Linked DNA regions of Kluyveromyces lactis. The protein of the gene in region 3 interacts with the protein of the main gene of each other region in a biochemical or structural test. Links are inferred from orthologs where the notes say so. Each region holds a gene or a part of one and is shown on either strand. Other genes may lie near its edges. The genes, in order: UBI4, KLLA0_E17447g, RSP5, SIC1, PCK1, BSD2 and KLLA0_F18216g.

Region 1 (2,786 bases), about 1.1 Mb from region 3:
TCCTCAAATGATGTATCTCACATTTTCATTGATATCTGGAAATATGGCCACGCTCTATGCAACAAGAAAGAAGTTATTGAAAGTGTCAAGATAAAGCTGATAAGGTATGGTGGGCTATTGAAAGAAAAGTTCCCCCACACCAATACCATGGTCGACTTTGGCATTTTGGAGATTCTTAGAGTGGATGACTCCTCAGTATTGAAAGCTGAAGCTTTAAATATTGGAATATCTCAGTAGAAATTGCCAACGGATGATATATTACTATCTTCTACTATTTATAACATTATCATAGTTGTTATGTATCTCTGAAAATGTATATAATATATACAAGACCCTAAACTTTTTATCCAAAGAATGTAAGGAAAAAAAAAAAATGCAAAAAAAAAAAAAATTGAATTGAGTATAAATGATACAACGGCTTTGCGTGGTCTCAAGCTCGTTAATAAACTCCCTATCGAGTTTCACTCCAGTAATCGGAAATATGAAATAAATCTTTACCATTAGATGCCACCTCTTAATCTCAAGACAAGATGTAAAGTGGATTCCTTTTGGATGTTATAGTCAGACAAGGTTCTGCCATCTTCCAACTGCTTACCTGCAAAAATTAATCTTTGTTGGTCTGGAGGAATACCTTCTTTGTCTTGAATCTTAGACTTGACGTTATCGATGGTGTCGGAAGATTCGACTTCCAAAGTGATGGTCTTACCAGTCAAGGTTTTGACGAAAATTTGCATACCACCTCTTAATCTCAAGACAAGATGTAAAGTGGATTCCTTTTGGATGTTATAGTCAGACAAGGTTCTGCCATCTTCCAACTGCTTACCTGCAAAAATTAATCTTTGTTGGTCTGGAGGGATACCTTCTTTGTCTTGAATCTTAGACTTGACGTTATCGATGGTGTCGGAAGATTCGACTTCCAAAGTGATGGTCTTACCGGTTAAGGTTTTGACGAAAATTTGCATACCACCTCTTAATCTCAAAACAAGATGCAAAGTGGATTCTTTTTGGATGTTGTAATCGGACAAGGTTCTGCCATCTTCCAACTGCTTACCTGCAAAAATTAATCTTTGTTGGTCTGGAGGGATACCTTCTTTGTCTTGAATCTTAGACTTGACGTTATCGATGGTGTCGGAAGATTCGACTTCCAAAGTGATGGTCTTACCGGTTAAGGTTTTGACGAAAATTTGCATACCACCTCTTAATCTCAAAACAAGATGCAAAGTGGATTCTTTTTGGATGTTGTAATCGGACAAGGTTCTGCCATCTTCCAACTGCTTACCTGCAAAAATTAATCTTTGTTGGTCTGGAGGGATACCTTCTTTGTCTTGAATCTTAGACTTGACGTTATCGATGGTGTCGGAAGATTCGACTTCCAAAGTGATGGTCTTACCAGTCAAGGTTTTGACGAAAATTTGCATACCACCTCTTAATCTCAAGACAAGATGTAAAGTGGATTCCTTTTGGATGTTATAGTCAGACAAGGTTCTGCCATCTTCCAACTGCTTACCTGCAAAAATTAATCTTTGTTGGTCTGGAGGGATACCTTCTTTGTCTTGAATCTTCGATTTCACGTTATCGATGGTGTCAGAAGATTCAACTTCCAAAGTGATAGTCTTACCAGTTAAAGTCTTAACGAAAATTTGCATGTTTTCTCTTGATCTAGTTTTAAGGGGAATGAGAGGGGGGGGGGTAAATAATTTGGGGTGAAATAGTATAACCTTGAGTCAGTATCTTCTATGAGAGAAACTCTTGATGCTCCTTCTTAACCAATATGATGTTGTTAATAATATCAGGAAACAAACTGCCAAAATAACCCTTTTGTTTTTATATATACTCCCTTTTTTTTTTAAAAAAAAAGGAACTTGTTCGCTTATTTCTTTTATTTTATCTCCCTATCAGTTCTTACTAATAACGGAGAATATAGCACAAAAAATGAAAATAAGAACAATAATGATAGCTGCTATGCTGTCCAAACTTTCAGAATAGATATATGAATGCGATATAGGTAGTAATAGTATCTAACCCGAATAATATCTTAGAAAAAGATAAACGTATTTAGAGAATAAACGGGGGAAAGAACAATCAGAAGTGGCAAATACGAGAGAAAAAAAGGCGGCCGCCCAAGTGATCACTATTTATATAAAAGCATCCAGTGTAATCAGTTTCGCTCGGCCTAAGGTGGCCGTTTGAAAAGAAAAATTTCCCGAGAGGGAATTCGATGGAAAACCGGCAGTTTGGAATCTGTTACGTTGCAGCCATCTCTGTATTTCAGCCTTGTATCTTTAACTGTTTGCAATGAATCTTTTCTCCGGCTTACAGATCGCCATGACTTGAGGTTTATGATTGCATGACGAAGAGCGGGGATATATGGAATGAACTGCTAACTTTGATTGTTCAGAGTAAAGAGCATACCGCTTTGTATCCACTGATACCTTCTGCAGTACAGTGTGTATATGCAGAGGTAACCATGGAAACTCATGGAACAATGAAGTTTATCCTTTTTTTTTAGACTTGCGGGGAGAATCTAAGATACAGACAGACGAAAAAAGTGACTCGAAGTCATCCACGTGATTAAATCAGGGTAACATACATCATATTTTATCTGCCTGGCTTCTCCTAAATTCATTCTTGACCTTTCAGATGCTCCCGGAACATACCCAGGCCAAATATCTCTGTCATTGAGGTTCCTGGCGGGATAATTCGGACTGCCCAGAATCTCTTCGATATTACTTGTCTTATAGTCCTAGATGACACTTTTTTTTCGACTCTTTTTATGATAGCGGTGT
Region 2 (2,400 bases), about 350 kb from region 3:
ATTGCTCCAAATTCGCAAAGATTTCATCCTCATGGTACAAAAGTTGAGGCAAAGTTTGAACCAATTTCTCTACCGAATCCATAAAGGATCCGAAATTCCCACTCAAATTGATATCCTTCCAGTGTTCAAAAGAGGATAGAAAATGGGAGGTCTCTACATCATCATGAACCCTTCTATCCAAATTTCTAGCAGGTTCAATCTTCAAATCATCAATCTTATCCTTGAAAGATGAGTATCTATACCTCTTGGTAGATTTCGTTGTAGTCTTTTGCTTACCCATGGTTGATTATTTTAAAATGGGAAACAGAACAAGACTAGTCCTCAATGTTATATCAATGTACTGAAGCAGGTCTTGTATGACTGGTGATTGACAGTTACTGTGTGTAGACCCTCTTGTGTTTGTTGTTTATGCGATGAGATGAGATGAGATGAGTTTTCATGCTTTTCCAAATTCTGAAAATTTTCCCTTTACCTAGAATGGAACGTGAAGAAATCCAGTTTCTTTTTACGCAGGGCCGATCTGGAGGACGACTACGGCCACAGGACTGACCGCCAGCACTGATCATTTATGAGGTGTTTTTAACGGGCCAGGAAGGTACGATAGTTGTGGGAGTACTAATAGTAGAACCGCTACAATATATAAGTTGAGAGTATCCAACCTAGAATCGCGAGGTAATGATAGAACTTCAACTAATAAGAAACTCCATCGTCTCATTATACAAAAATTGGTAAACATTATGTAGCGCAGAAGTAGTGCTGATTTTGGAACTCAACTTGGTTATATTTGAGGCTCTGCAACATTTTCTGGACATTCGTGGTAAAATAGGTATATCCTTTCTCTTAAATTTCCAGTATTTCTCTCCATCGGTCTCTTGATATATTATATATACTGATATATATTTGCATATGGGGAATAGTCGTTTTTAAATGAAATTTGTCATGATTCGCGATCAGATTTCCTCGCTACTCTTGCTGCAACAAGGATATGCCAGCAGGACTCCAGAGGGCAGTCGATAGGAGTTTGAAATCCAACCTGCACACGAAGCTATCGCTGAAAGGAGGATTTCCCACTGGATTTTTTGTTACAAGTCGCTTCTCGTCCCCTTTTTTGTCTGTTGATATACAAGACCTTCGATCAAAAGGATCGGAAAACAAAGAGGGCTAACCCAACACCAAGAGCAGGACTCCTGAACTTACTAATTGAATAAACAAGGGAAGTATATCTTTTCCGGGTTCTAATATTGCTCTTACTTCGCCTGCTATGTCAACCACAACTACATCTACGCCATCCAGTGTTGTCAGCGCTGTTCAAAGTGCTACCACTACATCTGCTGATATTGATAACAACTGCTGGGGTCTCTCGTGTTCCTCCCACTGGGAATGGGCACGGTGGGTAATATTCGTTATATTCATGTTCATCTTACTGGCATTTGTCATCACTACGATAAGAATAAACTATATAAGAAGGCGTAACGGACAACAACCACTTCGATACGTGTCATGGCTCACTCCGCCCACATACCGACAATCAGAAGCTGTAAGAAATAGATCAGATGTCCCATTGGCAGATTACGTGCCTCCGTACACAGAAGAAGCAAATGAAAACGATTTGGGTTACTACGATCGTGATGGGATATTCCACGTGAACAGTAAAGCCGACCCTCCACCACCGATAGATGCGTATGTGCTAGAGCATCGAAACGATAGGGATACGGATATGATAGATTTGGAAATGCAACGGACCACGGCTACGGCCCAGCAATTGCCGGCATATAATGATGTACCTGAATCGGAGACTGTAGAAGCCTCTCGACAAAACCCTGAATCAGCCCAACAACGACGGTCATCATCTGTGTCAACACTAATCCCTGAAGCACCGGCTGCTACAAATCTCCGGTGAAAACGTAATACAAGCCATTAAATGATCTTCAACAAACTTTCTACACATCATCGACTCTCTCTCTCTCTCTCTCTCTCTCTCTCTCCATCTTCACCTACCTATTTACAGAAAACGTGTATAAAATGTCACTCTTCTTCCATACGTATTTAATATCAAACTAACTATGTAACAATGTATTATAAGGAAATCCAGGGCATTCGTATTCGGCTAATATCCTGTGCAATGAGTCACACTACAACATCTTCTTTGCATCGGCTACTATTGTACTATGTCTGGTCATAACAAGGCTTTTCTGTTACCAGCGATGGCCGTTTCATTCAGAATGACCTTGCCAAGCCCTGAAAAGACGAGACCCTATAAACACCCTACAAAAGACTATATCCACGATTACCGCGCTGATAAAACCCTTGGTATGGAATCCAGTTCCATTTACTAACCGACGCTGTGGCTCTCGATCGACGTTGGGGATTTCGAGTATTAAAAGAGCCAGCTGCCGTTTC
Region 3 (4,289 bases):
TTTATCATCGAAGGAAACTACGGTGTCATTATTCTGCGATTGCATGATATCTGTAGCCAGAATAGATTTTCCTGGAACAGTAATGGTTTGTAAACTATGGAGCAATTTCCCACCGCGAGCCTGCTCATTAATTTCATTATTCCGCAATTGGAACAACTGTAAATTATCCGATGTCTGTGATGTGGAAAGTAGAATGGTGTCCCTATCCAATGACATTGAAGTGACGTCCCTAGTGTCTTCTGACAGTTTCCAACAATCTGTCTTCAATTTTTTCGTGACAATGACATCGTTCAAATCACCACTAACCTTCCTTAGCAAGGAACTGTTCAATTTCGAAGCCTCTATCTTGCAATTCCGCCTGACAATAGTACTGTTCTCGTCATCGCTAATATCTCTTCTACTCTTCTTGACGATGATGGCGTTCTGTCTGAATATCTCTGGAGCCCTGTAGAATTCAGTCATAATTTTCGCAATATACAGTTTCTTATTTGACTTTGTGTAATGTTTGCACTGCAGAGAATAATTGATTGTTAACAGGTACATCCATTAGAGGAGTAAGAGCTGGTCACTTTTAGAAACGACATGTTTATATATGATACAGGGCAAATAAAAATAGCACTAGCAAACACTGAGCCAATCAAAAATAGGACCAAACGCAGAACAAGCAACAAAAATTAGAGAAAGGCACGTTACCTATTGAGTGTGTTAGGCAGCCATATGAGCAAACATCCTGTTTATGTTTGCAAGAGGTTTGTTTACCTGTAAACAAACCCAGCATCTTTAAAGCTGGCAAAGGCTTGTTTATATTTATGTCATTTTGGACGATATGATTTTTGTCACGTGATGCCCATAATCGTCCCATATGCACGTCATCTGACAGCAATACGGCAGATTCTTGCAACCTGGTGGCTACCACCGCCATTAATGCCGTTTCCGAATTTACTGACATACTCGGCGTAGCCTGGTATCCCTCTTTAGTACTCTTTTTCCAGGTTTCAATCTCCTCACGTGACAAGTAAAGGAGAAAAGAAAATTGTGATTTGCATATTTTAATTAAGGAAACAAAACAAGAACAAAGATACTTTACTTGCAAACAACATCCGATTTAATCATCAGATCAAGGTGCTAGAGGATAAGCAAACGTGCATTGACAGTGGCAAAAAGGACGGTACGGAAAAGGGTATTGAGCAAGGTATTGATCTGATTTTTCTTTGCTTCTTTTTAGAGGAATCATCAACTTTTTTTCTGGTTCTGTTTCCTGTTCTGTTTCTTTGCAATTACGACAATTAAAGAAGACAAAAGACAAAAAATAAAACCTTATAGGCTTTCTCGGGCGGTTTTATTTGTTTAATAATTATTGCTGTTACTACCACTTATCAGATATCTAGTGTTTGAAGACTTTTCAATTTGTTATTGAGATTCCACTTTGAAGGAGAAATTATCGGATTTGAAATTGACAAACCATTAAAAAAATAAAAAGCTGCGAAATATGTCTATCTCTGTGAAACTAGTGGCTGCTGAGTCATTGAACAGGAGGGATGTGTTTAGATCTCCTGATCCGTTTGCAGTTTTGACTATCGATGGTTCTCAGACGAAATCCACAGCGGCTGCAAAGAAGACGTTGAATCCCTACTGGAATGAAGTATTTCAATTCAAAAATGTGAGTGAAAATTCGATCTTAACTGTTCAAGTGTTTGATCAGAAAAAGTTCAAGAAGAAAGATCAAGGGTTCCTAGGTGTTGTCAACGTTCGTATTGGTGACATTCTGGGTCACTTGGACGAAGATACTGCCACTTCGAACGGTAGAGCTCGTGAAGAGACTATTACTAGAGATTTAAAACGTTCTAACGACGGGTTGTCAGTAAGTGGTAGAATAATATTGGTTTTGACGGTTCTCCCCAGAGCTGGCAGCCGTAATGGAGCTGCTGGTGCCGCAGGTAGTGCTGTTGCTGGTTCCGGAGCAGCTCGTCAATCGGATTCGATGACGAACGCTTCCACTATCGACAACAGATTGATTGCTCAGACTGTTGCTAACAACTTGCAAACTACTACATTAGACAACCAGGATTCTGCGAATGCTGCAGGTACCGCCAGTTCAGGTTCAGGTGCCGGTTCAAGTGATGCTGCTCCATCCGGTCAACCTTCGACAGCTCAATCTCAATCGTCAGCTAGCAGGCAATACTCATCGTTTGAAGATCAATATGGTCGTTTACCCCCAGGATGGGAAAGAAGAACGGATAACTTTGGAAGAACATATTATGTGGATCATAATACAAGGACAACAACATGGAAAAGACCCACTTTGGATCAATCCGAGGTTCAACGTGTCAACACCGAACTAGAACGTAGACAACACAGAGGAAGAACTTTACCTGATGGTGGTGCTCAATCAGAGGGCTCGTCTTCATCAAACGTTGCTGTTCATACCGGTACTGGATCTCAAACTCCTGCCGTAAACGGTTCAGCAGCTGCTACTTTTGCTGCCACTGGGGGTACCACATCGGGGTTGGGTGAACTTCCACCAGGTTGGGAACAACGGTTCACTCCTGAAGGAAGAGCGTACTTCGTTGATCACAACACAAGAACCACGACATGGGTCGATCCAAGAAGACAACAATATATTAGAACCTATGGGCCTTCCACAAATACCATACAACAACAACCTGTATCTCAGTTAGGACCTTTGCCTTCTGGTTGGGAGATGAGATTGACAAACACAGCCCGTGTATACTTCGTTGACCATAACACTAAGACCACCACTTGGGATGATCCTAGATTACCTTCTTCCTTGGATCAAAACGTTCCACAGTATAAGCGTGACTTCAGACGTAAGGTTATTTACTTCAGATCCCAACCGGCTTTAAGAATTCTACCAGGTCAATGTCACATCAGAGTACGCAGAAAGAATATCTTCGAAGATTCTTACCAAGAAATAATGAGACAAACGCCAGAAGACTTAAAGAAGAGACTAATGATCAAATTTGACGGTGAAGAAGGTTTAGATTATGGTGGTGTTTCAAGAGAATTCTTCTTTTTACTATCACACGAGATGTTTAATCCCTTCTACTGTCTATTTGAATATTCTGCCCATGATAACTATACTATCCAAATCAATCCAAACAGTGGTATCAACCCTGAGCATTTGAACTACTTCAAGTTCATTGGTAGAGTCGTCGGTTTAGGTGTATTCCATAGAAGGTTCTTGGATGCATTCTTCGTTGGTGCTCTATATAAGATGATGCTAAGAAAGAAGGTAGTATTACAAGATATGGAAGGTGTCGATTCAGAAGTCTACAACTCCTTGAAATGGATTTTAGAAAATAGCATAGATGGCATTTTAGATCTAACATTTAATGTTGATGATGAAAGATTTGGTGAACTGGTTGTCGTCGATTTGAAACCAAACGGCAGAGAAATCGAAGTCACAGATGAAAACAAGAAAGAATATGTTGAACTATATACCCAATGGAGGATCGCAGACAGAGTTCAAGAACAATTTAAGGCATTTATGGATGGATTTAACGAATTGGTTCCTGAAGATCTAGTCAACGTGTTTGATGAACGTGAACTTGAATTATTGATTGGTGGTATTGCAGAAATTGATGTTGAAGACTGGAAAAAACACACAGATTATCGTGGATACCAAGAGTCTGACGAAGTTATCCAGTGGTTCTGGAAATGTATCACTGAATGGGACAACGAGCAAAGAGCACGTTTGTTACAATTCACAACTGGTACATCGCGTATCCCGGTCAATGGATTCAAAGATTTGCAAGGTTCTGATGGTCCAAGAAGATTCACTATCGAAAAAGCAGGTGAAGTTCAACAACTACCCAAGTCACACACTTGTTTCAACAGAGTGGATCTTCCACCATACACTGATTATGAATCTTTCAAGCAGAAGCTAACATTAGCAGTGGAAGAAACCATCGGATTTGGACAAGAGTAGTTGAATGAATCTTTCAATCTTTTCAATACCCTGCACCTTCTCAATTATTCAATCAGAAAGCGCAAGCACAAACACAAGCACAGACATATATATGTTATAGATATATTGTTGCCAAAACATGTGTATATTATTACATAGAAATTTTTTTCTTAACCTCGTTAGGCCTCAACTTATGGTGCTTTGTTATATTTTATTGCCATTATCAGGTGTTACTTTATATAGGTATGCTATAATGTGGGAAGCAATTGACAACGAAGTATCTGGTTCCTAACCGACGGAGTTTTGTAATTGCCCAGAGATTGATATATCCAGCTTAAATTTTGGGATAATAACGAAAATT
Region 4 (2,694 bases), on a different chromosome or scaffold from region 3:
TGTTCCATGATATCTTCCAAAGATTCCTGTCCCATCTGTAATATTCTGTCCAAGTGCGCGTTGCCTCTCTCAAAGATCGAGTTCTCTTTCCTCAATCCTTCATATAGTGGTAAACCAGCCGCCGAATTGATAGTCATTCTTTCACTGTTCTGATCTAAGGCGCCTATTCCGAAAGATGTTTGCGGAGGAGCATTGATGTTCCTTTTATTCATCACGGTCTCTTCCACCATTGATGCTTGCTGGTTGAACAACTGATCTCTCGCATTAATTTCTGAGTATTTTTGCTTCAATTCGGTAAATTTCTCTTTTGCATCTTCGTAATCCTGTGTTAAGGTCTGAAGTCTCGTCTCATACTTTAGTTTAGTTTCGTCGTTGTCATCTGAACTATTTATTTGATATTGCTTGTATTGTTCCTTGTACTGATGAAGCGTTTTCTCGAAAGAAACAAGGGTTGTGGCGATCGCCCCTTGCAAAGAGATCGGCGCTGTTACGAGCTCTTTCTCAAATTTACCCAAGTCTTTATTTAGAAGACTTCGCTGCTTGATGGCATGATTATACAACGCGTTCTAGTGATATCGTGGGAAACAATAATTAAGGTAAGTTAGTAAATAAGTAACACATACGCGACGCGTGTCTATAAATGTAGAAATACAATTAGAGCAGCGCTCCAGCGAAACATACCATCTTAGCCCTGTTGTGATCGCAAAAATTCTTGATCGCTAATGAAGATCCAAAAGATTCAAGAAAGGAATACTCTTGAGAAATACAGGAAAATGCTGAGTCAAACGTTGAGCGTCAATCGTCAATTCTGATCGATCTGAATTATCCCAATGCGTATGAATGTTCCATAAACTTTCTTAGTTTCCAGTGGTTCCACTGCTCACAGACGCAATCCTTGTTTAGAAGTTATTTACTGCTACTCAAGTATGACTGCTAAATTGTTGCTGGTTCAATATTATTAGTGGTTCACATTAAAAAAAAAATTAAAGATGCTGGTTTTGAGTCTCACATATATCTATATATAAAGATAGTTTAACAGCGAACCATATCCAGCATAGAGCGGTTGCATACGCACCTAAGTAATCGAATCAGAGTCTCTTCATATCAAATTCCTTCTTGACGATAGTGAGGTTACTGGAAACTGGTTTCAACCTACTCTGCTTTTTGCTTCATTATAAGTTGCCAGATTTTCAGTCCGTTTTGTTTTAGACAGAAAAAGGGATATCATCGGTATAGTATACATTCTATACCATCTTTGCTACTTTTCATTTAGATCTCATCAACACACCGATACATCTGAAAACAATATCAATAGCTTTCAATTGGTAATACTAGAGTTTATCCTCTTTTTTTTTTGCATTCTACGCATTACACTCTTATTTCCATAATAATGACCCCAGCTACCCCTCCAAGTTCTAGGAATAAGAGATCAAATAAGACAGATTTGCTGCTCGCAACTCCAGAGCGAGCCGCGGAATCTGATTCCTCTGGCATGGTTACTCCGGGGACAGTTAGAGTAAAGGATAGATTGCAGCCACCTACTAGACCCATGAATTTAACAAGTCCATGCCCGGCATTAAAGACACCTGAATATACCCCACATAAGAACAAACATACGAAACGCAGGATAGAGTTTGACCAGGAGAAGTTACAACCTGTCAGTAGGGTCTTGTTCGGATCGGATTTCCAAGTAGAAGAAACTTCAAACAACAGGACTTTGCTACCACCAAAGAGAACCGGTATAATGGAGTCTTTCAAAGGCGTTCAAAGTTATAATATCAATGATGAGTATGCTGTCAATAACAAATTCAAACTTGCTAAACAAGAGCCAGGAACTCCAAGTGACAAGATCACCACCTTTGAACTTGCTAGAAAATGGCATAACGAGTCTGGTCTGAATACATCGCAATCAGAAAACGAAGAAGAAAATATTCATATTGAACAACAACCTACGGCAGTCAACCAACATAGTAATTTAGAGAATCCATTTCTTTCGAATAATATTGCTGATGAAAAACTGCGAAAAGAACGTAAAGAGAAGATGCTACTTGAGGACCCTGATTTGGAAGATACAATCACTTATGTGAATAAAGGAGGGAAGGTCGTTTCTAAAAGACATTTGACTGACGATGAGAAACAAAGGTTTAAACCTACGAGACTCTTTGCTGAAGAAATAGATAGGCATGATGGGTAGGTAAGACACATGAATAAAACGGGTTTTTATTTTTTATTTTTAACTATAGCTAACGGTACCGACACAATTCATAAGGAAAGAAGGGTATGGAATTCCCCTGTAACACTACATAACAAAAACTGCTAAAACATCATATTTATAAATACAATACTTACGATAATTTTCGTAGAATATTTCAGTGAAATAAGATTGTCGTTTTTGATCGTCGCAGAGTGTTAATTCTATGTAAAAGTCATATATATTAACAAAAACCCTTCATCAACCCCTGGATGATGGATTTGATCCTTTTCTCTTGAGTTCTTTGAAGATTTTCTTTCTATGCCTCAACAAATCTTCAAATACTTTGTATCCAAGTTCATTAGCTGTTGGCAGAATTGGATGTATTAGGCAATTTGCAAACTCTTGGCTAATGGCATCCCGTAAATTTTCTGCAAGTTCTTGACTTTCTTCAGATTTATTCATTCTAATGATTTCAATTAGTCTCTCGAAATGGGTTGTGA
Region 5 (3,546 bases), on a different chromosome or scaffold from region 3:
AATGTACCAAGAGAAGACTCTCGGACATGCTCATCTCAACCCCGGGAAGGGAAAGGTTACAACCGATAAAATTACCTAAGTACGTATGGATGGTATTAACAAGCTTCTTTGTCCCTCTTCCAGAAATGTCCTTTTATTTGAGTTTGTAGATGAGCCCGGGCTTCGGAGTCCAATGACACTGAAACGCTCGAAGAAACCACTTAATCTTGATTATATAATCATTATACGCCACCAACTCCGTTCCATTCTCTTTCCCCGGTCCACCATATACGGCTGTACACTAGCATGTCGATTCCCCACGCGATCGACCGGGGAACCCGAAATCAATGAAGAACGTAGAAAGTAAAATGAAAATCGAAAAAAATAAAGCTACGAAGGTTTGCAGGAAGTGAGCAGATGCCCGGGAATATCACCCGTACATCACATTTCAATATCAACCCGGGAAGTAAATTTTGTTTTTTTCCAGTATCCTCTTGCCCCACACGCTATCTACCCAGAGGCATCCCGGGAGCGGAGCGGTACAACAAATTGCCAAAATTTGTCCCCCTTCTCCTACTTACATCCTGTGAACCAAAAGAACAACAGGGGGGAAAGGAAAAATTTTCGAGTGCCAGACATGAACTTGGCTGGCAAGGTTTTTCCTTTCACACCACACTCAATGTTGAAACGTACATCTTTCGGAACTATTTTTCGAGCAATTGGGCGTTATTCCCAACAATCCAAGTACTGGTCTGTACATCCCGGTCTTATTGAATACAAAAAAATTTAGAGAAAGTGCCGTATAGACTGAAAAGTCCCCAATTTTTTTTGTTCTTGCCTTGTGTGTTAATTAGTTTTAATCAAATTCCACGCTGGGACAAACAACGGAACGGACAAACGAAAAACATAAAACATAGACATTCAGGACATTTCAGGACATTTTATTTTGAAACGAACAGACACATAGATAGATATCAAAGAAAACGTAGTTATATCGATACCGAACCAAGGGAGAAAGGGACTCTTGTTTACTGAAATCGCCTAGAATGAGTCAGATAACTCGCTGGAACATCAATTATCCATCTAGTAATTAAGTGCAATTATTTATTCTCGTCCTGTCATATCGTGAATTGATTAATATTCATCTTTTATGATCATATATAAGGGCGATGGTTTTTCATGATTTAGTTTGATGGATACATTTCAAGTGTTGATAAGGTACAATAGTAGCTATATATTATCTCAGTTGTATTGCAATAAAAGTAAACCCAAAATTCAGTGATTCTACACATTGAAAGCACTTTAATAGTAAAGCCAAAATTCATACTATACGATAAATTGACTCTTCTCCATTTAAGAATACTCAATTAACCGTGTTATCGACTTTTCCTCTAGCGCGACTAAAAAGAAAGAAAATAAAACCTATTATCAAATAATGTCACCAACTAAGACACAAAATTCTGCTGAAGAGAATATTAGGGCTGAGCTTGGCCTTTCTGCAGAAGTCGTCACCATCAGACGTAATGCTCCAGCTGCTTTGTTATATGAAGATGCTTTAAAAGAAAGAGACACAGCCATTTCCAATGCTGGTGCCTTGATTGCCTACTCTGGTGATAAGACCGGAAGATCTCCACGTGATAAGCGTATCGTTGAAGAAGAAACTTCAAAGGATAACGTTTGGTGGGGTCCAGTAAATAAGCCATGTTCCGAAAGAACTTGGGAAATTAACAGAGAAAGAGCTGCTGATTACTTGAGAACTAGGGATCACATTTACATTGTTGATGCTTATGCTGGCTGGGATCCTCGTTACAGAATCAAGGTCAGAGTGGTTTGTGCTAGAGCTTACCATGCCTTATTCATGACGAACATGTTGATCAGACCATCAAAGGAAGAACTAGAAAATTTCGGTGAACCTGACTTCACCGTCTGGAATGCTGGTCAATTCCCTGCTAACACACATACCTCCGGTATGACTTCTAAGACTACTGTGGAAATTAACTTCAAGCAAATGGAAATGGTCATCTTGGGTACCGAATACGCTGGTGAAATGAAGAAGGGTATTTTCACTGTGATGTTCTACTTGATGCCTGTAAATCACAATGTCCTCACCTTACATTCTAGTGCCAACCAAGGTATTCAAGATAATGACGTTACTTTGTTCTTCGGTTTGAGTGGTACTGGTAAGACTACCTTGTCCGCTGATCCTCATAGACTGTTGATCGGTGACGATGAACACTGTTGGTCCGATCATGGTGTTTTCAACATTGAAGGTGGCTGTTACGCTAAGTGTTTGGGATTGTCTGCCGAGAAGGAACCAGAAATTTTCAACGCTATCAAGTTCGGTTCTGTTTTGGAAAACATCATTTACGATCCTAACACTAGAGAAGTTGATTACGAAGATTCTACAATCACAGAAAACACTAGATGCGCTTACCCAATCGAATACATCCCAAGTGCTAAAATCCCATGTCTAGCTGATCACCATCCAAAGAACATTGTCCTGTTGACTTGTGACGCTTCAGGTGTTTTGCCTCCAGTATCCAAGTTGACCCCTGACCAAGTTATGTACCACTTCATCTCTGGTTACACTTCCAAGATGGCTGGTACTGAACAAGGTGTCACTGAACCAGAAGCAACTTTCTCCTCTTGTTTCGGTCAACCATTCTTGTCTCTACATCCAATGAAATATGCTACAATGTTGGCTGAAAAGATGGCCGAACATAACGCTAACGCTTGGTTAATCAACACTGGTTGGACTGGTTCCTCTTACGTTGCTGGTGGTAAGCGTTGTCCTTTGAAGTACACCAGAGCTATCCTAGATGCCATCCACGATGGCTCTTTGGCTAAGGAAGAGTATGAAGTTTTGCCAATCTTCAACTTGCAAATTCCAAAGGCTGTGGGTGACAAGGTTCCAGCTTCTCTACTAAATCCAAGTAAGAACTGGGCTGAAGGTGAAGCTAAGTACACTTCAAATGTCAAGTCATTGGCTAATTTGTTTGTAGAAAACTTCAAGACCTACCAAGATAAGGCTACCGAACAAGTCTTAGCTGCTGGTCCGCAATTATAATCACAATGTCCTCAACAGAAGTGCTATACCAAAATAACGAAAAGAGGCAGAGTGAAATATTATTGAGTAATATTTTCTCTTCAACATAGTTTCACTTTTTCCGTTACCTTCAACCAGACTATCTCAACCGTAGCCGGTTCATTATTATTAATATAAAATTCTGAGATTCATAAAAAACCAACTAACAATAATACACATACCATTGGCTCGGATTATTTGATTCTTGCATTTAGAAACTATCTTTTTCTCGACTACATATATAACAAGAAAATTCTACAGATATCTTGGGGTTTTTCTCATTCGTTTTTCTATTACTTTCGTCCTTTTTAATTTATCACTAACAGCCTTTATCAATATGGTTATAGTACATACATACGCTTTAGTATCTTTTAATCTGGATATACTATTTATTTATGGGAGGAATTAAATCATTAATATCATCCTTAAGCGAAGAATAAAAGCAGGTTAAATAGATCTTTAATCTCATCCCATATATGCTG
Region 6 (2,637 bases), about 470 kb from region 3:
TTTGAAAATGTGCAGAGGTTCGGGGGCGATGATTTCAGAATAAAAATCAACCTAGATATTGTCGTTGGACAACATCAATTGATAGATACCGTTGAATGGGATGTGTCAAATCCAGATAATTGTCCAGAATCGTTCGCGGAGTGTTTATGCGAAGAACTATCCCTTCCGGGTGAATTCTTAACAGCAATTGCACATTGCATTAGAGAACAAGTTCACATGTATCACAAGTCATTATATATGGTTGGTTACAAATTTGACGGTAGCCCCGTTGAAGAAGACGATATCAGAACAAGATTCTTGCCTGTACTCACCTTAGCAGACGTAATGAGACCACAAAAGGATACGTTTTTATACACACCTAACTTATTACAGATATCTCCCGCAGAACTAGAACGTTTGGTTAAGGATAAGGACAGAGACACTAGAAGGAAACGTAGACAAGTTCGTTTCAATAGAAGAGGCAATACAGAAAATCACCCATCGTCCGGAAGTACACCGCAACTACCCCATGATGCAGAACTTCCTGATCTTGGGGATATCCCAAAAACGTGCCGTCAACTACTTCCAACAACAACTTTGCCTGGAGGTATTGATGTTGGTCCAAGTACGTTATCGTTCCAGCCATCAACTAGAGTCGAATATTTAGACAGAGCTAAAGCAACTCCAAAACAAGAATTCCAACAGGAAGTAAGAAACTCATCAGCATGCAGAGTTATTATGCACGACGTTGGGAAATCTTTACTCGTCACTATAAAGCTACCAAAGGCGAAGACAACCATTCAATGAGTAATTCGCTATATATATATATATGTACATATGTATTTATGTGGTACCACCTGTAACAATTTTAAGAAATACTATGATAAATAAGCTAGAAGAAAGAGCACTGAAGATAGCTATGAGAGACCGAACGCCGATGATCGCGGGCTTACTCGAGGGTCTTGACACGCACCTCTACGTATATCGATATTTATGTGTGCCTGTTTCATTCTTTATGGTGTAAGCCTCTAAATTTCATAAACAGCTCAAAACCAAAAAATATATTTAGTAATGGAAACGTTAACATTTGAACGAACCAACCCTTTTAAGAAACTTGGTATGCAGAGGCCACAAACTCATCAAAGCAGCCATATTTGAGTGTTACTCGAGGGTAGTAGAGTTTACTGAGATTATCTACGCGGCGAGTATGTCTGAGCATTCGGAATTCGTAGCCGGAAGTGGCGTTGGCAGGAGCCAAGATGAAGTCGGTGGATCTTCCTCAGTGACTTTGTCTCCTTCACAATCGCAGTCGCAGCTGCAAACACAGCCAGAAACCGAATCTTCAAGAGCTGATGATGTGGAAACAGGGACAACTTCGTCGTCTTCTAGACTGCACCAGATGAATGGGCAGTTCCAACAACATTTGAACTTTGTTGCCCGAAAGTTCAATATATTAGATAGACTGTTTAGAGGCGGCAGTTCAAGCGAGCAAGCGATGAGGTTACAAGTCGGGGCGAGTTCTGATGGTGTATTCAGTAATCTTATGGCGAAACCTGAAAGGAACGGTATCAATGGGAATGGGGAACAGGATAAGCCTCCTACGTATGACGAGGCTGCGGCTGATATGGCTCCACCATATTACGGTATAGACGACGATGGCGTTGGATTGTATTACAACGAAATTTGCATCGACGGCCTTCCAGTTGGGAATATATTCAATTTCTTATGGAACGTTGTGGTCAGCTTCAGTTTCCAATTTGTCGGGTTCTTGTTGACCTATATCTTACATACATCACATGCAGCTAGGCAAGGGTCCAGGTTTGGACTTGGGGTAACTTTCATTGGATACGGATATTCCATGATACCGAACGATGTTTCAGGAAAGATAGGAAAGGATAATGAATTGAACAGGTTTACATTTGATAATCCAGATTCGTTTGAAGAGATTCGTCTATATACAAGTACTTCTACTCAGGATGAATTCGAATCGGACCTTTCTCATGGAGTAATGGAAAAGACGCGGCACACACCGGCATTGGCCATATTCGTTATACTGTTAGGTGGGTTCATAATAATCAAGAGTATCTGGGATTACATTAAGGTCAAACGCATGGAGGCACGCTTCTTGCAAGATGCAACAGCAACAGCAGAAGTTTAAAATCCTCTTTTTGACTTCCATGATATTAGCATTAGCAGACTAACTGCTTTCAACCTTTTCTCATATATTCAATTCGTTTTTTGCCCTATTCACATTTTTATTCACTATTCTATTTTGCAGCTTAAAGACACCCTTTGCAGGGTCAAAACTCTCGAGTTTAACACTACTACACTCATAAATAAATGGTTCATCCCATCAGAATAAATCAAACTGTAATCCTATCCATTAAGTTGTTGTGGATCCAAAATTAAAAAAAAATACACTATAATAAAACAAACAGGCTGTCTCTATGATTGTTCCTCTTCAGAAACTAACAAAAAGGAAATTTTTGTCTTCTCTTAATTCAGTGCACCCTATGACCAAATTACTCTTTTAATCTATTTCATGATACAATGGTTCCTTTTACCTGATGCTATTCGGCATGTTTGATGTCTCTCATGTGGATATATGCAAACATGTGTATTATATTTTTTTGTATATCATAACAATATAGATGGAAA
Region 7 (4,054 bases), on a different chromosome or scaffold from region 3:
AGATAAAAAGATTGCTTCAGGCCTTAGGTAAGTACATCGTTGAAGTAAAACACTGGTAAATGCCCTATCCCCTTACATTGTTATTCTTCTAATCGATTCTACGCACAGGATTTTGTCAATGCATAATAATTAAGTACTATATAATAAGCCATTTTTGGAGTTGCATAACTTTATGTCATAACTAATCAATTCACTGTGTTTTATATTTTTTGTTTTGCATGTTGTAACCATAACAGTTTGTAATTCCGGAGAAGCTCGAACAGAAAACATATCTATATATATATGCCATGCATGTAAAGTTTAAGATGATATCTTAAGTTTATTTATCTAAAAGAGAAGGACATGTACAAATGAAACGCCACTGGGGAACATATTATAAGACGGTGCCGAGTATATGCCCTGTGGTTGACTAAAAAGAAGGTGAAAAAGAGTTAATCACTAGGAGGGCCTAAGATAGTGCAATGATTACGCTAAAAAAAAGTAGAAAGAAAATGACATATTCAATAGTCGAGGTCTGCTTTATCATGTCCAGAGACAGAATTATCCAAATAGTTCATACCGCCAGGGTGTTCGTGTGGGAATGGATTAGTAAATGTCGGTGTAGGAGGTGGCATAGGGAAGTAATAAAAGAATGGGGAATGTTGAGAAGGTGGACACTGTCCCGTCAAGTGAGCGCCCGGCTGAATCAAGTGAGAGGGCGGAGGGCCAACGGGGCTACCAGAAGGTGGACAGTACTCCATTGGGTAGTACACTGGCGGGCCGTAGTAGAAATTTGGATCCATCCTACCATGCCTTGGTGCATCTACATTTCTTCGCTTCTTGTAACTATGATTCTTTTGATAAGAACCAGTGTTATGCGCATTGTTATGTTTGAACGTTCCAGTGCCTGCGCTGAAAGTTGTGAATGATGAGTTGGACTCGTGTTCTAAGAAATGTGTGTCCTCTGCATCATTGTCTTCATCGACTTCATATTCATCATCTTCTTCTTCAATTGTGCTATTTTCGATATCGTCTTTTGACCTATTGAAGTGGGTACTATGCATTTGCTGAGGACCTTCTAGATAAGCATTTTCTTTTTCAACTCCATTGTCTGTTTTGTTGGGATAATTTTTGCTTTCTGTGCCATAAACATACTGGTTACCATTTTCATTATAAAAACCTTGTGAACCAGTATTGCCAACGAAAACATGATTATGGTTGTGGTAGGATGATGAGCCTGAGTTTATAGTATTTCTCCTTGGTTCTTGTATCGTAGCATACACATAATGAGATGGCAGATTTGGTTGTAAATGATTTGGTAATGGATACATGTATTTTGAAAAAGACCCTGTACTTGCTCTCCTTCCTATATTCAAAGGCGGAGGTGCCAAGTTCAACTGAGGCCCCTGGAATGACTTATTGGAATCAATTGAACTACGCCTTGAATTAGATACCTCTCTGATCTGCACATGCAGTATTTTCTCCACGAATATTGAATGATTCTCTCTTTCCAACGCTTTTGCAGCTGATGCCGGAGTCTTGTACTTGATAAAGGCAAAGCATTTCAATTGTTCCTGCTTGTGGATCAAGTTGCAATTGTCGATTTCTCCATATTTTGAAAACCTTTCCAAAAGTAATGGTTTAGTAACTTTAAAATTCAATTGTCCTATGAATATGGACTTGTTATCGATGAAAATTGGTTGCTTACCGAATCGTTCTCTTTCTAATCGTTCCTTTTCGCAAATTTTAGCCTTTGAAAGTAGCAAATTGAACCTTGGAGGAACATCGACATTTTGTGCCCATTCCACCATGTATTCGTAATTGAGTTTCATTTGCAAATATGCTCTAATCGCATCGTCCCGATAAGCGTATTGGATAAACCAAGAGTTTGCTACCTCACTTGGATAATAATTTTTCTTATACATTTGGTCTCTGCTAGGGACAACTTGTTCCAATTCCCCAAATTTACTCATCAAATCTACCACTTTTTCAACAGTTAATTTTCCCTCTAGTGGATTAGCAAAACTTGACGAGATGAATACAGTTCTGTTGACCTTTGCTCTTTCACAACGAATATTTCTATTGTTTAACGTTGTACCTTGAGCTTGAGATAACGCATTCAATGCTTCATCGTCTGATGCATATTGAACAAATGCGTAAGGCCTGTTTGCTGGATCACGCAATACTTTCACAGACACAATTTTACCATATTTCGCAAACTCTTTTGTCACGGATGCGTTGAGTTCGGAATCACTAAGAGTGGCCGCTAAAGACGCAACGAAAATACAAGACGATGGTCTTGAAAAGGAAGGGTCATCAGAGGATCTTGGAGACGGTTCATCCAACAAATTAGTAGTATCCTCATCTGAATCTGTTTCTGATTCACTTGCTATTTCAGAAAGCTGTTCTGGCAGCAAGTTTGTTAAATTATCATCTAACAATGATTGACGGTCGATTTTAAGAGCAGTCAATTCCTTTTCTAAATTGATGACAGGTTTATCTGAAGAAATTTCCTCTTTATTTTTGGTTTGGTTTTCAGTTTCATTCGACCTTTGCCTTAATATTTCACCTGACTCATTGGGTGAATCATTAATCACAATACGGTCTTTAAAACTCTCGTTGATGTTTTTCGACATATTGGATGACATTACTCTTTGTTGTTTTCTTTTTTTAGACGTTAGGCACTATTAAGGTTTTCGGCTTTCCTCCTCTGTGCAAAAAACGAAAAAAAAGTCAGATCTGTAAAAAGGATGAATCAATAGTGATGTGACAAATTTTGATTCCTCAAATGACAAACTTCAGAACAAAGAAACTGTTTTGATCAAAACGGTTCGATGAATCTGTGGGTTCGAAGCAGCTAGTTATGATTTAGCCTTCTTAATATAATTTGACCTGAGCAACGTTATTGATATGGCACGCTGTGGAGAAAATATTGGTCACAAACCCTATTTAAAACGATCTATGATTTGCCCTGTTTGTTCGGAGAATGGAGGTGATAGAAAGATATTGTATCCCGAGAAATAGAAAACCTTTTGCCGTGGATCTTCTTGCGTCGTGAAAATCGTGCAATTTTTTTCTCACTTTGGGGGGGAATATGCGCTTTTCCTCTGAAACTTCAGCTCCGGTTTTATTTCTCAAAAAAAAATTTGTCTTAATTTTCAAGTACTGCGGCAAAGTGACCTGGCCAAGAGAGGGAAAAAACAAGTGGACAAATAGTATAAATATGTCCAGATAGCCCCCTACTTTTATTTCTAGGCGATATAATCTCGGAATTTGTAATGGAATAAAACAATGTGCTCCTTTATTCGTACGGTATGGTCAACAGTCTTGTAACGTGCGAGTGTACTTTTGCCTTATGTCGGTGATCTATTGGATTATGGGTTCGTTTCCTCTCCTCAATATTAATATTTGATTGAAGGAGAAGGAAGGAGAATCAGAACAGCTAATAAAACACAAGATAATAAAGATATTGTGTAAAGATAGGAAGGAGAACACAATGAGGGAGAAAGGTATTGCAGCTTAAATCAATTTATAATTGATCGGTTATTATATTTTGAGTGCAGTTTTCACTGTTTGATATGTGTACGAGTTCAAAACAAAAATATGAAAACTGGATATAATAAAAAACAGGGATATAATAATGTTTTGCAATTGTGTGGAGGCAAGTTTTGAAATAAAACTATCTTTCAAAAGTTCAGAATGCTCCTTTGTTGAATATTTTGTCCCTGTATTATCTTGTGACTCTTTGAACGGTCTTTTTCCAGTTCAAACTTGCATTGGCTGCTAAAAAAAAAAGTACCAAACGAAGCCAAATCGGGTAAAAATCTGAAAATAGAACTGTAGAGACTGTTCTCAGAAGCCGAAAAGGATTTCAGCGAAACTAATAGAGTCGTCGTAGAAAGAATATCAGATGATGAAATCGGCCAATGCTTCAGATGACAAATTCGACTAGCTATATGAAATAACCCAAATTATGCGTTCTTGTACTCCAAAAGAAAGAAGAAATCAAAGTAAAAACAGAATTCTTGATTGCGAGGAGCTAATCTCAGATCTAACAAGTATGAAACTCGATAGG

Evidence for each region.
Region 1: the proteins of RSP5 (region 3) and UBI4 form a complex in vitro, tested with the Saccharomyces cerevisiae proteins (6 studies listed by BioGRID, with this or other methods). The link is inferred for Kluyveromyces lactis from reciprocal best matches to the Saccharomyces cerevisiae genes RSP5 and UBI4.
Region 2: the proteins of RSP5 (region 3) and KLLA0_E17447g form a complex in vitro, tested with the Saccharomyces cerevisiae proteins (2 studies listed by BioGRID, with this or other methods). The link is inferred for Kluyveromyces lactis from reciprocal best matches to the Saccharomyces cerevisiae genes RSP5 and RCR2.
Region 4: of the proteins of RSP5 (region 3) and SIC1, one has a biochemical effect on the other in vitro, tested with the Saccharomyces cerevisiae proteins (3 studies listed by BioGRID, with this or other methods). The link is inferred for Kluyveromyces lactis from reciprocal best matches to the Saccharomyces cerevisiae genes RSP5 and SIC1.
Region 5: the proteins of RSP5 (region 3) and PCK1 form a complex in vitro, tested with the Saccharomyces cerevisiae proteins (2 studies listed by BioGRID, with this or other methods). The link is inferred for Kluyveromyces lactis from reciprocal best matches to the Saccharomyces cerevisiae genes RSP5 and PCK1.
Region 6: of the proteins of RSP5 (region 3) and BSD2, one has a biochemical effect on the other in vitro, tested with the Saccharomyces cerevisiae proteins (3 studies listed by BioGRID, with this or other methods). The link is inferred for Kluyveromyces lactis from reciprocal best matches to the Saccharomyces cerevisiae genes RSP5 and BSD2.
Region 7: of the proteins of RSP5 (region 3) and KLLA0_F18216g, one has a biochemical effect on the other in vitro, tested with the Saccharomyces cerevisiae proteins (3 studies listed by BioGRID, with this or other methods). The link is inferred for Kluyveromyces lactis from reciprocal best matches to the Saccharomyces cerevisiae genes RSP5 and RIM4.

The regions. Positions count from the first base shown.
Region 1 is NC_006041.1:74,448-77,233, forward strand, and holds UBI4 (ubiquitin), read right to left. Parts: upstream 1,647-2,786; coding exon 501-1,646; downstream 1-500. Other genes in the region: ECM29 (Ecm29p), read left to right, coding at 1-237. UniProt on the Saccharomyces cerevisiae protein: Ubiquitin exists either covalently attached to another protein, or free (unanchored).
Region 2 is NC_006041.1:1,550,360-1,552,759, forward strand, and holds KLLA0_E17447g (resistance to Congo red protein), read left to right. Parts: upstream 1-1,261; coding exon 1,262-1,900; downstream 1,901-2,400. Other genes in the region: UTP20 (Utp20p), read right to left, coding at 1-280.
Region 3 is NC_006041.1:1,196,644-1,200,932, forward strand, and holds RSP5 (NEDD4 family E3 ubiquitin-protein ligase), read left to right. Parts: upstream 1-1,489; coding exon 1,490-3,949; downstream 3,950-4,289. Other genes in the region: DSE1 (Dse1p), read right to left, coding at 1-543. UniProt on the Saccharomyces cerevisiae protein: E3 ubiquitin-protein ligase which accepts ubiquitin from an E2 ubiquitin-conjugating enzyme in the form of a thioester and then directly transfers the ubiquitin to targeted substrates.
Region 4 is NC_006040.1:496,957-499,650, forward strand, and holds SIC1 (cyclin-dependent protein serine/threonine kinase inhibiting protein SIC1), read left to right. Parts: upstream 1-1,390; coding exon 1,391-2,194; downstream 2,195-2,694. Other genes in the region: BOS1 (Bos1p), read right to left, coding at 1-566, 682-684; GTPase-activating protein RGD2, read right to left, coding at 2,453-2,694. UniProt on the Saccharomyces cerevisiae protein: Substrate and inhibitor of the cyclin-dependent protein kinase CDC28. Its activity could be important for faithful segregation of chromosomes to daughter cells. It acts in response to a signal from a post-start checkpoint.
Region 5 is NC_006037.1:39,830-43,375, reverse strand, and holds PCK1 (phosphoenolpyruvate carboxykinase PCK1), read left to right. Parts: upstream 1-1,414; coding exon 1,415-3,046; downstream 3,047-3,546.
Region 6 is NC_006041.1:1,664,471-1,667,107, reverse strand, and holds BSD2 (Bsd2p), read left to right. Parts: upstream 1-1,186; coding exon 1,187-2,137; downstream 2,138-2,637. Other genes in the region: SNF5 (Snf5p), read left to right, coding at 1-786. UniProt on the Saccharomyces cerevisiae protein: Required for homeostasis of heavy metal ions such as cadmium, cobalt and copper. Controls metal ion transport and prevents metal hyperaccumulation by negatively regulating the SMF1 and SMF2 metal transport systems.
Region 7 is NC_006042.1:1,676,304-1,680,357, reverse strand, and holds KLLA0_F18216g (uncharacterized protein), read right to left. Parts: upstream 2,628-4,054; coding exon 501-2,627; downstream 1-500. Other genes in the region: NPR3 (Npr3p), read left to right, coding at 1-59. UniProt on the Saccharomyces cerevisiae protein: Positive regulator of sporulation-specific genes and of sporulation. Required for premeiotic DNA synthesis and meiotic chromosomal segregation. May act in a nutritional signaling pathway.